Linked DNA regions of Macaca fascicularis. The protein of the gene in region 1 interacts with the protein of each later gene in a pairwise test. Links are inferred from orthologs where the notes say so. Each region holds a gene or a part of one and is shown in the gene's direction. Other genes may lie near its edges.

Region 1 (3,750 bases):
TCCGGGGTCTAGGCTGGGATGCTGTGGTGAACAAGACAGTCAAGGTCCCTGCCCTTAAGGGACTTAAAGGCAAAACAAAACAAAAAACAAGTAAATAAATGAGATCACTTCCATTAATAATAGTGCCATGAAGGGTCATGTGTCATGAAAGGCTGGCGGTGAGGCTGAGGATCTTGGGCCACACGGAGCTGAAGAGCTGAGGTGACTGGGGGCGCCAGGGTCTGGGGGTGCGGGCAGGCAACAGACCATGGGGGACTTACAAGACATTATAAGGAGTTTTTATGTCATAAATTATTATGGCATAAATTGGAGGGCTTTAAATAGGGGAGTGAAGTGGTCTGATTTGTAATAAATGATTGCGTCAGCAGCTGTTTTATGGTATAAAATGCCCAGCTTGAAGATGACCATGCATTCTACAAATTCACCGTGACATCGTTGCCAAAACCCTTAACCTGTCTCATCTAGTTTTCCTGACAAATAGGTCAGAATAAAGCTCCGTGACATAACTAGTGGGAGCCAAAGATTTGAATCACGTCTTGGTTTCAAATCTTGCTACCCACAAATGAGTTGTGAGCTCTTGTCAAGTTACTTACTGTATTTGTGCCTCAACTATCTCAGCTGTGAAATGGGGATAATGAAAGTTCCTACATCATTTATTTGTGAAAAAATAAATGACATGTAAAGCACGACGAGAGCGCCTGGCACAATGTAGTAAGCTTTCACAAATACTCGCTTTTATTCCTTCTTGCAGGGAATTACTTAGAGGATCCACAAGATAATGCACGTGAAAGGGCTTGCGAAACTGTAAGGACTATCTTAATGGTAGAGTCCTCTACTTTTCTTTTAAACGGTCCAGAGGACGCTAGGCTGTTCGAGGCGCGAGGCCAAGCGCAGCCTCAATGCGGTCATTGTCGTGGGGCCGCCCCTCCCCCGCCCGGGGAGCTTCTCCATGGCAACGTGGGCTTTACCTCTCCCCGCCTCCTCAGGCCCGCAGACCGGAAGCAGCCCGTGCCGGGGGCTTCTGGGAAAAGGCTTGTGAACGGTGTTTCTGCGTCTGCCGTGGACAGCGAAGCTGCTGCGGTTCCTGAGCCAGAGGTTTGCGCCGGTGTGCGGGGAACGTTATGGGAGGGAGGGGGACACCGGGCTAGGGTCTGCGGACCTCTTAGCAGGAGTCGGCGGGGAAGCCTTCCCGGGACCTTCCTCAGCTTCCCGGGAGGCGCGGGGAATAGGCCGCGCTCTCCGCGCCTAGCAGTTGTGGGGCGGGGAGAGGTAGGCGGCAGGCTTGCTTGGGTCTTCGGCGTCTGCAGAGTGCTCTCTAACCCCCGGTGTCCTCCGAGACCCTCACCTTCCCCCTCCCCCACCGGCCGGTTTTGTTCTATTTCGAGGCCCTGGCGTCTCGCGGAGGGTTCTGGGAGTCGTGTTGGGAGGAGGTGGTATGGGGCGAGACTTGCGCGGGGCTGTTGGGATTTGTAGTCCCACCGGCCGCAGGCGGAAGTGCCGTGGTTCCGACGCTGTTGTCACAGGGTGGTCTTTGGTCATGTGAAATCCGCTGTCCTGAGTGCTGGGAAGAGGGGCTAGAGGACTGGCCGGGATCGGGGTACACAGCAGGTCTATGCAGCAGTAAGGTGGGCGATCACCTGGAACGAGGTGCTCTGACCAAACATTGTCGGGACCGTTGGCCTTCCCTCCATTTCCCACAAGCAGTATGCTCTACAGCATGAAAGGAAGAGAAATATATGTAGAAATAGTTGCACCGTTGATAAGCAGGGTCTTGGAATAGGCACAAATCAATGTTGGCTAGACCTTATTTATAAGGCCACCACACTCCAGGGTATTTAATTAAACCAGTATGTATTACTTGTCTGATAAGGCCTTTTCTGATTCCAGTCTTCATCTTGCTTGGGTTACGATAAGTTTTTTTAAGTTGTTGTTCATAGGCTGCATGGCTCATTGCTAGTATGTGTCGTAAACAACAGCACGGGCATGATAGTGCAAATAATAAAGGTCCAGAAACAGCATACAGTTTCCCTGAAGGTAGAACTGGGGAAACTGTGAGTCATCCAGTGTAAGGACAAGACACTGGACCACTGCAAGAAGTTAAGGTGCTAATGCGAGTGCCTTTTCTTAATAGAATTTTCTGTGATTAATGCCTATCATTATAAATATAAATGTACGTATGGTGTGGTGGAAGACTGAATATTTACGTATTATGTGCAAGATAATTTTTCAAAATATGTGATCTGTTTTTCACATATGATCTTTTCAATATTATGTGATCTGTTACTCAGCAAGTGAACATTTTTTCCACATATATTTTAAGTCCAAGGAGTTCTTAAATACCTTATTTTTTAAGTGGTAAAATTTTTTTAAGCACATAATAATAAAGCAAACCTTCGTTTTGGTTGAAACAGGGTTTCACTATGTTGGCCAGGATAGTCTCGATCTCTTGACCTCGTGATCCGTCCGCCTCAGCCTCCCAAAGTGCTGGGATTACAGGTGTGAGCCACTGCGCCAGGCCCAGCTTTTTGCTATTTTTAAATTCATTTTTTAGAGACAGGGTCTCACTCTGTTGCCCAGGCTGGAATGCAGTGGTGCGATCATAGCTCAGTGGAGCCTTGAACTCCTGGTCTTTAGTGATCCTCCTGCCTCAGCCTCCTATAGTGCTGGGATTACAGATGTGAACCACTGCACCTAGCCAGTTTTTATTTTTTTTTCCTTTTGGAACTTTTTTTGTTAAAAACTAAGACAAACACATGCATTAGCTTAGGCTTACACAGGGTCTGGATTATCAATATCATTGCCTTCTGCCTCCCTATCTTGTCCCACTGGAAGGTTTTCAGTAGCAGTAACGTGCATGGAGCTGTCATCTCTGTGATAACAGTGCCTTCTATAATAGCTCCTGAAGGACCTGCCTGAGGCCATTTTGCAGTTAACTTTTTTTTTAATAAGTAGAAGGAGCACACTCTAAAATGTATAGTATGAAAAGTATAGTAAATACATAAACAAGTAACATAGTCGTTTATTGTTGTTATCAAGTTTTATGTACCATACATAACTGTATGTGTTAAACTGGCAACACAACAGGTTTGTTTACACCACCATCACCACAAACATGTGAATAATGCATTAACCTTACAACAGCTACAGTGTCACTAGGTGAATCTTGAATTGTTCAGCTCCATTATAATCTTATGAGAGCACTGTCATCTATGTGGTCCTTCATTGACCGGTCCTTCATTGACCCAAACATCATTTTTTTGTTTGTTTTTTTTTTTTTTTGAGACTGAGTCTCACTCTGTCGCCCAGGCTGGAGTGCTGTGGCCGGATCTCAGCTCACTGCAAGCTCCGCCTCCCGGGTTCCCGCCATTCTCCTGCCTCAGCCTCCCAAGTAGCTGGGACTACAGGGGCCCGCCACCTCGCCCGGCTAGTTTTTTGTATTTTTTAGTAAAGACGGAGTTTCACCGTGTTAGCCAGGATGGCCTCGATCTCCTGACCTTGTGATCCGCCCGTCTCGGCCTCTCAAAGTGCTGGGATTACAGGCTTGAGCCACCGCGCCCGGCCTCCAAACATCATTTTGTAGTGCATGACTGTGTTGGGTTTTTTTTAGGCCATCTAGTCTGTTGAAACTACTCAACTCTGCTATTGTAGCGTGAAGTATGAGTAAGTACAATTTTTTATGGACACATTCATGTTAATTTCGTATCATTTTCACTTGTCATGAGGTATTCATTTGACTTTGGGGAGCTCCAT
Region 2 (3,650 bases), on another chromosome or scaffold:
GAGGATCGCTTGAGCCCAGGAGGCAGACGTTGCAGGTAGCCAAGATTGTACCACTGCACTCCACTCTGAATGACAGAGGGACATTTTGTCTAAAAACAACAACAACAACAACAAAGCCCTTTTTCTTTCCTATACATAGGATTAACATTTTCAGTCAATAAGATATGTTTTATATTTTTCCTTAGTTAAAGCCAACTTAGAATATTTATGTGTGTATTTTAATTAATGGAAGACTCAAGGCAATTAAGAATTAGGTACCTGTGTGTTGAGCACAGAAATTCCTGTGGAAAAATAGATAGATTTACCAAGAGGTTGGTTTCTTGTCAGTTGGGTGGCTTTTTTTTTTTTTTTTTTTTTTTTTTTTTTTTTTTTCTGATGCAGTCTTGCTCTGTCACCCAGGCTAGAGTGCAGTGGCATGATCTCAGCTCACTGTAACCTCCGCCTCCCGGGTTCAAGCGATTCTTCTGCCTCAGCCTCCCGAGTAGCTGGGACTACAGACAAGCGCCACCATGCCCAGCTAATTTTTGTAATTTTAGTAGAGACGGGGTTTCACCATATTGGCCAAGATGGTCTGGACCTCCTGACCTCAGAATCCACCCACCTTAGGCTCTCAAAGTGCTGGGATTACAGGCGTGAGCCACCGTTCCCGGCCAGGTGACCTCTTTTACTCAGTGATGCTCACTTAATTGAAGGTTACCAGATCTGAAAATTTCTGGCACTTTGCTAATTTCTATCTAGATATTGATTTGCATCCCGTTATGTTTTAGAAAGTATGAAAAGACAAATGGGAGGTGATCTTCATAGCAGGCTTGTGCTAGTTCAGCAGGTGTTTAGTAATAAAACCAAATTGAAGCCACAAGGCAATATGACTTTATTATTGATCAGCAATGATTACTGAGTAAGTTGAAAAGTTTGAAATCATTCCCCATTCAGTTTGATGAAATGAAGGGGTTTCTGAAGGTGAGGGAAGAAGATGAAAGTGAAAACTATCATCTTTTGTCTCAACTAACTCAGTTTACTAGGAATGGGATGGAACAGAAATTTCCATGTGTGATAATAAGAAGTAATTTAAGTTCACACTCTGAGGAAAAATTTATTATCCTGCACCAAGAGCTACATTTTTCTAAAGCTTTCTCTTTTTTATGCAGACTCTCAGAATGGAATCATTTCAGGAAGTACAGAGTTACTTTAAAATATGGCATTGTTTTCCTTACACTGGATGTCACATAGAAGCAGCCCTACAGTTTACCTTAAAGTGAAATAGAGAACAATACTGGAGAATAGAGATTGGGAATTTTGCAGGGTCTCAGCCTCATCTTAGTCTGGGAAAAGAAATGTCAGTGGAGAATATGTGAGAGAATGATCCATTCAAATATTGTAAGCTGGAATGGTAATGTTAATCTGTCTATCAGGATTCAGAGGTAGCCATTTGGTTTTATCTCTTTGTGCATGAAAATAAACATAGGCATTTGTCTAAAACAAGGTTTGAAGGGGGGGAAAGTCTTCCTGATTAATTCCCAAATTGCTTTTCTATTGCTTAAGCATCCCTGGGGAATCCAGCACGTAAACACGCCCATTGGTTAGTGTATAATTATGTTATATCCATTTTCCTTTGGAAATGCTTAATGACTCTTGCTTTGTATTCCTTGCAGGTGAAAGCCCAGCCTCCGTGGTTCTTAATGCCTCAGGAGGATTATTTTCACTAAAGATGGAAACACTGGAGTCTGAATTGACCTGTCCAATCTGCCTAGAGTTGTTTGAAGACCCACTTCTGCTCCCTTGTGCTCATAGCCTCTGCTTCAGCTGTGCCCATCGCATTTTGGTCTCAAGCTGCAGCTCTGGTGAATCCATTGAACCCATTACTGCTTTCCAGTGTCCTACCTGCAGGTATGTTATCTCGCTGAACCACCGGGGCCTGGATGGCCTCAAGAGGAATGTGACTCTGCAGAACATTATTGATCGCTTCCAGAAGGCTTCAGTCAGTGGGCCCAATTCCCCTAGTGAGAGCCGCCGGGAAAGGACTTACAGGCCCAGCACCGCCATGTCTAGTGAGCGAATTGCTTGCCAATTCTGTGAGCAGGACCCGCCAAGGGATGCAGTAAAAACATGCATCACCTGTGAGGTCTCCTACTGTGACCGTTGCCTGCGGGCCACGCACCCGAACAAGAAACCTTTCACCAGCCATCGCCTGGTGGAACCAGTGCCAGACACACATCTTCGAGGGATCACCTGCCTGGACCACGAGAATGAGAAAGTGAACATGTACTGTGTATCTGATGACCAATTGATCTGTGCCTTATGCAAACTGGTGGGTCGTCACCGAGACCATCAGGTCGCATCCCTGAATGATCGATTTGAGAAACTTAAGGTAAGGGATCTGGGGAACATCTCTTACACAACTTTGTCTCATAATAGAGTTATGCAGTTAGCAAGTTCTCTAATAAAATGGGTGACTTTTCCTATATGACTAGTGAATTAACTTTAAGTTGTTTTCATGAGGAGTAACCTGCTCACCTGCAAGCTCTCCCTGGAGCCTATCTCATCTGTTGCATAAACATGCTTGCATTCATACACTTCTGGCTAACTTTTGGGGAGTCAGCTCATGGCCTGCAACACCAGTAGTTCATCCAGGGAAACAGCACCCTCTCTCCTCTGTCAGTGACATTATTGCTTATTATATATCTTTGCTGTGATCTTTCCACCTCTTCTTTTAAGTATGTGAGTACTTGTGTAGGTGTACTACAATTAGCATACGTGCCAATTTGCATATGTGGGTATATGGTAATGGGAAGGCAGGGTGTGTCTCTATGTAGGTGTGGGTGGGTGGAGGTGTCTGAGTGTATCTAGGTAGGTGAGAGATTTTTGTGGAGGACATTAGCGTATGTTTGTGTTTGTGTACTCAATGCACTAAAGAAACAGAAGTTTGGCATTGGCCATTACAAATTGCCATTAAGTGTTTAACACAGGGCTAATTCTAAGCCTGTCTTTAAAAACAAAACAAAACAAAACAAAGAACTGAAGAAATTTCAGTACACCACGAAATCGGGAGGGATAATTAAATGTCTGAACTAACAATTTAAACTGAAGGCAATAAATATTTAATCCACTATCAAATTTTGTGACAGTGGTCACTATTATGGGCTACAAACTGAAGCACTTGTTTATAGTTCCTGCCTTACAAGTTCCTAGTCATTTATGTGTGTTCAGTGGACAGGGTTTTCTGAAGTTGTTGTGTCATATAATATTTATGTACAAGTCTAAGTGCCCATTTAAAAAAGCCCTCCTACCTTACACTGATGATCCAGCAAATTGTTTTACTACCATTGCTTGTCTGCTATGTGGTATAATTTCTCTTAAGAAGGGAGCTACTTAGAAGATATTCTAGAAAAATAAAATGTTTAAACGGATAGTAAAATTACCACTCCAAATAGAACCTGAGTACATAAGCCAAGCTAGAAGAAAGATCCAGATAGGATAAAAGGAGGGTAAGAAGGAAATGGAAATTTTCCTCCTGCCATACTGTGGATGAATTACTGTAACTTCTGTAAAAAGTATAATGTTGGTGAGAGTAGCAGTACTCAGAATAGGATATATTTGACCTGTAATGTGCTGCGAATAATATTGAGAGTAGTCACAGTGACTATGGTTTG
Region 3 (3,750 bases), on another chromosome or scaffold:
TGCCCAGGCTGGAGTGCAATGGCGCAATCTCCGCTCCTTGCAACCTCTGCCTCCCGGGTTCAAGCGATTCTCTTGCCTCAGCCTCCCGAGTAGCTGGGATTACAGGCGCCTGCCACCACAGCCGGTAATTTTCGTCTTTTTTTTAGTAGAGACAGGGTTTCACCGTTTTGGCCAGGCTGGTCTTCAACTCCTGACCTCAAGTGATCTGCCTGCCTCGGCCTCTCAGTGCTGGGATCAGAGGCGTGAGCCACCATGCTTGGCCGCAAATAATTTTAGAAATCGGCCGGGCGCCGTGGCTCAAGCCTGTAATCCCAGCACTTGGGGAGGCCGAGACGGGTGGATCACGAGGTCAGGAGATCGAGACCATCCTGGCTAACCCGGTGAAACCCCGTCTCTACTAAAAAAAATACAAAAAACTAGCCGGGCGAGGTGGCGGGCGCCTGTAATCCCAGCTACTCGGGAGGCTGAGGCAGGAGAATGGTGTAAACCCGGGAGGCGGAGCTTGCAGTGAGCTGAGATCCGGCCACTGCACTCCAGCCTGGGCGACAGAGCGAGACTCCGTCTCAAAAACAAAAAACAAAAAAACAAAAAAAAAAAAATCAGCGGGGCGCGGTGGCTTGCGCCTGTAGTCCCAGATACTTGGGAGACTGAGGTGGGAGGATCGCTTGAACCCAGGAGTTCGAGGCTGCAGTGAGCTATGATTGCGCCACCGCATTCCAGCCTGGGCGACAGAGAGAGACTCGGTCTCAAAAATAAAAAATAAACTGGAAAAGTAATTCTTAGCTCACTAGCCGTTCAAAAACACGGGCATAGTGTGCTTCGACCCGCGTACTGCAGTTTGCTCACCCTCGCAGACTGGCTGCAGCGCGCAGGACAGCACTCCTCGGAGGGCGGTGCCAGGAGCCGGGCCTCGGATTGGGCTTCTGGACAGAGGATGGAGCATCGCGGTTGGGCGGGGCATGCCCGGATTGGCCCACTTCGGCGTCGCAGAGCGCGCGGCGAATCGGCATTCAGCCAGTCAGTGCGGCGCTGTTGCCTCGCCCCGCCTCACGCCAGCGTCCGGGTGGTGCGGAGAGGGCGCCCAGCTTCACTGCGCTCTAAGCGCGCACTTCCGGGCACGGTCGTGGCGTGACGTCGGGAGGAGGGCAGGTAAGTCCCCGCGGGCGGAGGAGCGGGGAGGGCCGGGGGTCCGGCAGCCGTCTCACCCGGGCCTCGGAGCCGCCCGACGCGCCCATCTGCGTCGGGGGACGCGGGGCTGAGGACCCGATCTGGATGCCTGGAGCCGGCCCAACTCCCACCCAGGACCAAAGTCCCTGAGACCCCTGACCCAAGTGCCTGGGACCCGGCCCCTTCCTAGCCCGGATCCATATTATGCCTGAAGGGCCCTGGGTTTTTGCATCGGGAAAATGGGACCAATAAGTCCCTACCTCACCAGATTTTATAAAAATGATTCTTGTAAAACCGTGAGCAGGAGAAATGACTAAACTGCCAGCACTGAACTCGGGAGTCAGGCGCTGCCCTAAATGCTTTAACCATTTTACACGTAAGGAAAATGAGGCTTAGAAAACAATTTGCCTCAAATCAAGCAAATAGGAAGCAGCAGGATGGAGCTCCCAGCCCAAACTTTACGCCCAGGACAAACAGGGTCGGTAATTACTTTTGCAGCAAGGACCGGAGATATCTACACGCCCACCCGATAGCCCCGTCTGCCATTTACCGGGTCAACAAAACCATCGTAAGACACACACACACACACACCCTCAAGCTCCTGTAAACGGAGTATCTGCTCTTTGCAGGCTCTTCCCGTGTGTTAGTTGATTCACAGCATCCCCAGAAAGTCAGTCTTTTCGTCATCATTCGCCCTTTACCGGTGACGAAATACAAGCCCAGGGAACCGCAGACACTGACCAAGGTCACCCAGCTGATGAGGAGTGGAGCTGGGATTCAAGCCCAGGGAACCGTGACCCCTAACACCTCAAGGGGCACTTAGCTATTTGGTTGGCAAAAGTATTTTTAGGTTGGAACGGACCTTGGAATAATCCAATCTAAGGGGCACACTTTATAGTTGCAGCATCCAAGACTAAGGTGAAGGTGGAACAGTTTATGTCCGGGACTTTGCACCATGGCCTCACCACCTCACTACACCACCCCCACTCCATCAGAAGCTCTTCCATCAGCTTCTTTCTTTTTTTTTTTTTTTGAGACAGAATCTCACTCTTGTCACCTTGGCTGGAGTGCAGTGGCACCATCTTGGTTCACTGCAACCTCTGGCTCCCGAGTTCAAGCTATTCTCCTGCCTTAGCCTCTCCAGTAGCTGGGATTACAGATTACAGGCGTGCACCACCAGGCCTGGCCAATTTTTGTATTTTTGGTAGAGATGGGGTTTCACCATGTTGGCCAGGCTAGCCTCGAACTCCTGACCTCAAGTGATCCACCTGCCTCAGCCTCCCAAAGTGCTGGGATTACAGGTGTGAGCCACCGCATCTGGCCCCCAAGAATGGTTTTAAAGTTTTTAGTGGTTGGGGAAAAATCAGAATAATAATGCTTTGTGATAGATGACGATTATGTGAAATTCAAATTTCTGTGTCCATCAATAAAATTTATATTGGCATGCAGCTACGCCCGTTCATTTATATATTGTTTGGTGCTGATTTCTAGCTATGAAGGCAGAACTGAGTTGTTGGGGCAAAGATAATCTGGCCTAAAAAGCCAGAAATATTTACTCTCTGGCCCTCGACAGAGAAACTTTGCCAATCTCTGTTCTAGAATAAGCTTCACTGCCTCGCAGAGTCTCTCTTTAGTGTAAACTAGAACTTCCTTCTTTTTTTTTTTTTTTTTTTTTTTTGAGACGAGTCTCGCTCTGTCGCCCAGGCTGGAGTGCGGTGGCGCAATCTCTGCTCACTGCAAGCTCCGCCTCCCAGGTTCACGCCATTCTCCTGCCTGCCTCAGCCTCCCGAGTAGCTGAGACTACAGGTGCCCACCACCACGCCCAGCTAATTTTTTGTATTTTTTAGTAGATACTGGGTTTCACCGTGTTAGCCAGGATTGTCTCGATCTCCTGACCTCATGATCCGCTTGCCTTGGCCTCCCAAAGTGCTGGGATTACAGGCGTGAAGAAATTCCTTCTATATGACCTAAAAGCTTCCCTTCCAAACATGGGAGGGGGTCTCACCACCTCTAGTTCGAGGAGCCCCTGTATTTCCACTTGTGTCACCTGCACTGATGGTGACCCTTATGGAGCCTCATTCAGTTATCTCAGTCTTTTACCCAGTTGACATTTATCTCGGCCTGGCACTGTCCTAGGTGTTGGGGATATGGCACAGTGTGACCTGCCCGGGGAGACACAGGGTGATGTGATCAGAATTCCAGGAACAAGTGACTATGGATTCGGTGGTCGGATGAGGTCATTTTTTGTTTTTTGTTTTGTTTTGAGACACAGTCTCACTTTGTAGCTGGGGTGCAGTGGCGCCATCTTGGATCACTGCAACCTCCGCCTCCCGGTTCAAGCCATTCTCCTGCCTCAGCTTCCCAAGTAGCTGGGATTACAGGCATCTGCTACCATGCCTGGCTAAATTTTGTATTTTTAGTAGAGATGCGGTTTCACTATGTTGGCCAGGCTGGTCTTGAACTCCTGACCTCAGAGGATCCACCTGCCTCAGTCTCCCAAACCGCTGGGATTACAGGTGTGAGGCACCACACTTGGCCGGATGAGGTCTTTGATGGATATGATATGTAGGTCAAGACCTGTGA

What was found.
Region 2: the proteins of ZNF24 (region 1) and MID2 interact in binary tests that used the Homo sapiens proteins (3 or more experiments, as listed by UniProt). The two-hybrid records come from large-scale screens. The link is inferred for Macaca fascicularis from reciprocal best matches to the Homo sapiens genes ZNF24 and MID2.
Region 3: the proteins of ZNF24 (region 1) and YJU2B interact in binary tests that used the Homo sapiens proteins (3 or more experiments, as listed by UniProt). The two-hybrid records come from large-scale screens. The link is inferred for Macaca fascicularis from reciprocal best matches to the Homo sapiens genes ZNF24 and YJU2B.

What each region holds. Positions count from the first base shown.
Region 1 is NC_088392.1:54,501,237-54,504,986, forward strand, and holds the start of ZNF24 (zinc finger protein 24), read left to right. Parts: upstream 1-1,008; 5' UTR 1,009-1,105; exon of another isoform or gene 1,106-1,710; intron 1,711-2,997; exon of another isoform or gene 2,998-3,750. UniProt on the Homo sapiens protein: Transcription factor required for myelination of differentiated oligodendrocytes. Required for the conversion of oligodendrocytes from the premyelinating to the myelinating state.
Region 2 is NC_088395.1:114,409,200-114,412,849, forward strand, and holds part of MID2 (probable E3 ubiquitin-protein ligase MID2), read left to right. Parts: intron 1-1,652; coding exon 1,653-2,368; intron 2,369-3,650. UniProt on the Homo sapiens protein: E3 ubiquitin ligase that plays a role in microtubule stabilization. Mediates the 'Lys-48'-linked polyubiquitination of LRRK2 to drive its localization to microtubules and its proteasomal degradation in neurons.
Region 3 is NC_088393.1:14,162,995-14,166,744, forward strand, and holds the start of YJU2B (probable splicing factor YJU2B), read left to right. Parts: upstream 1-1,099; 5' UTR 1,100-1,149; intron 1,150-3,750. UniProt on the Homo sapiens protein: May be involved in mRNA splicing.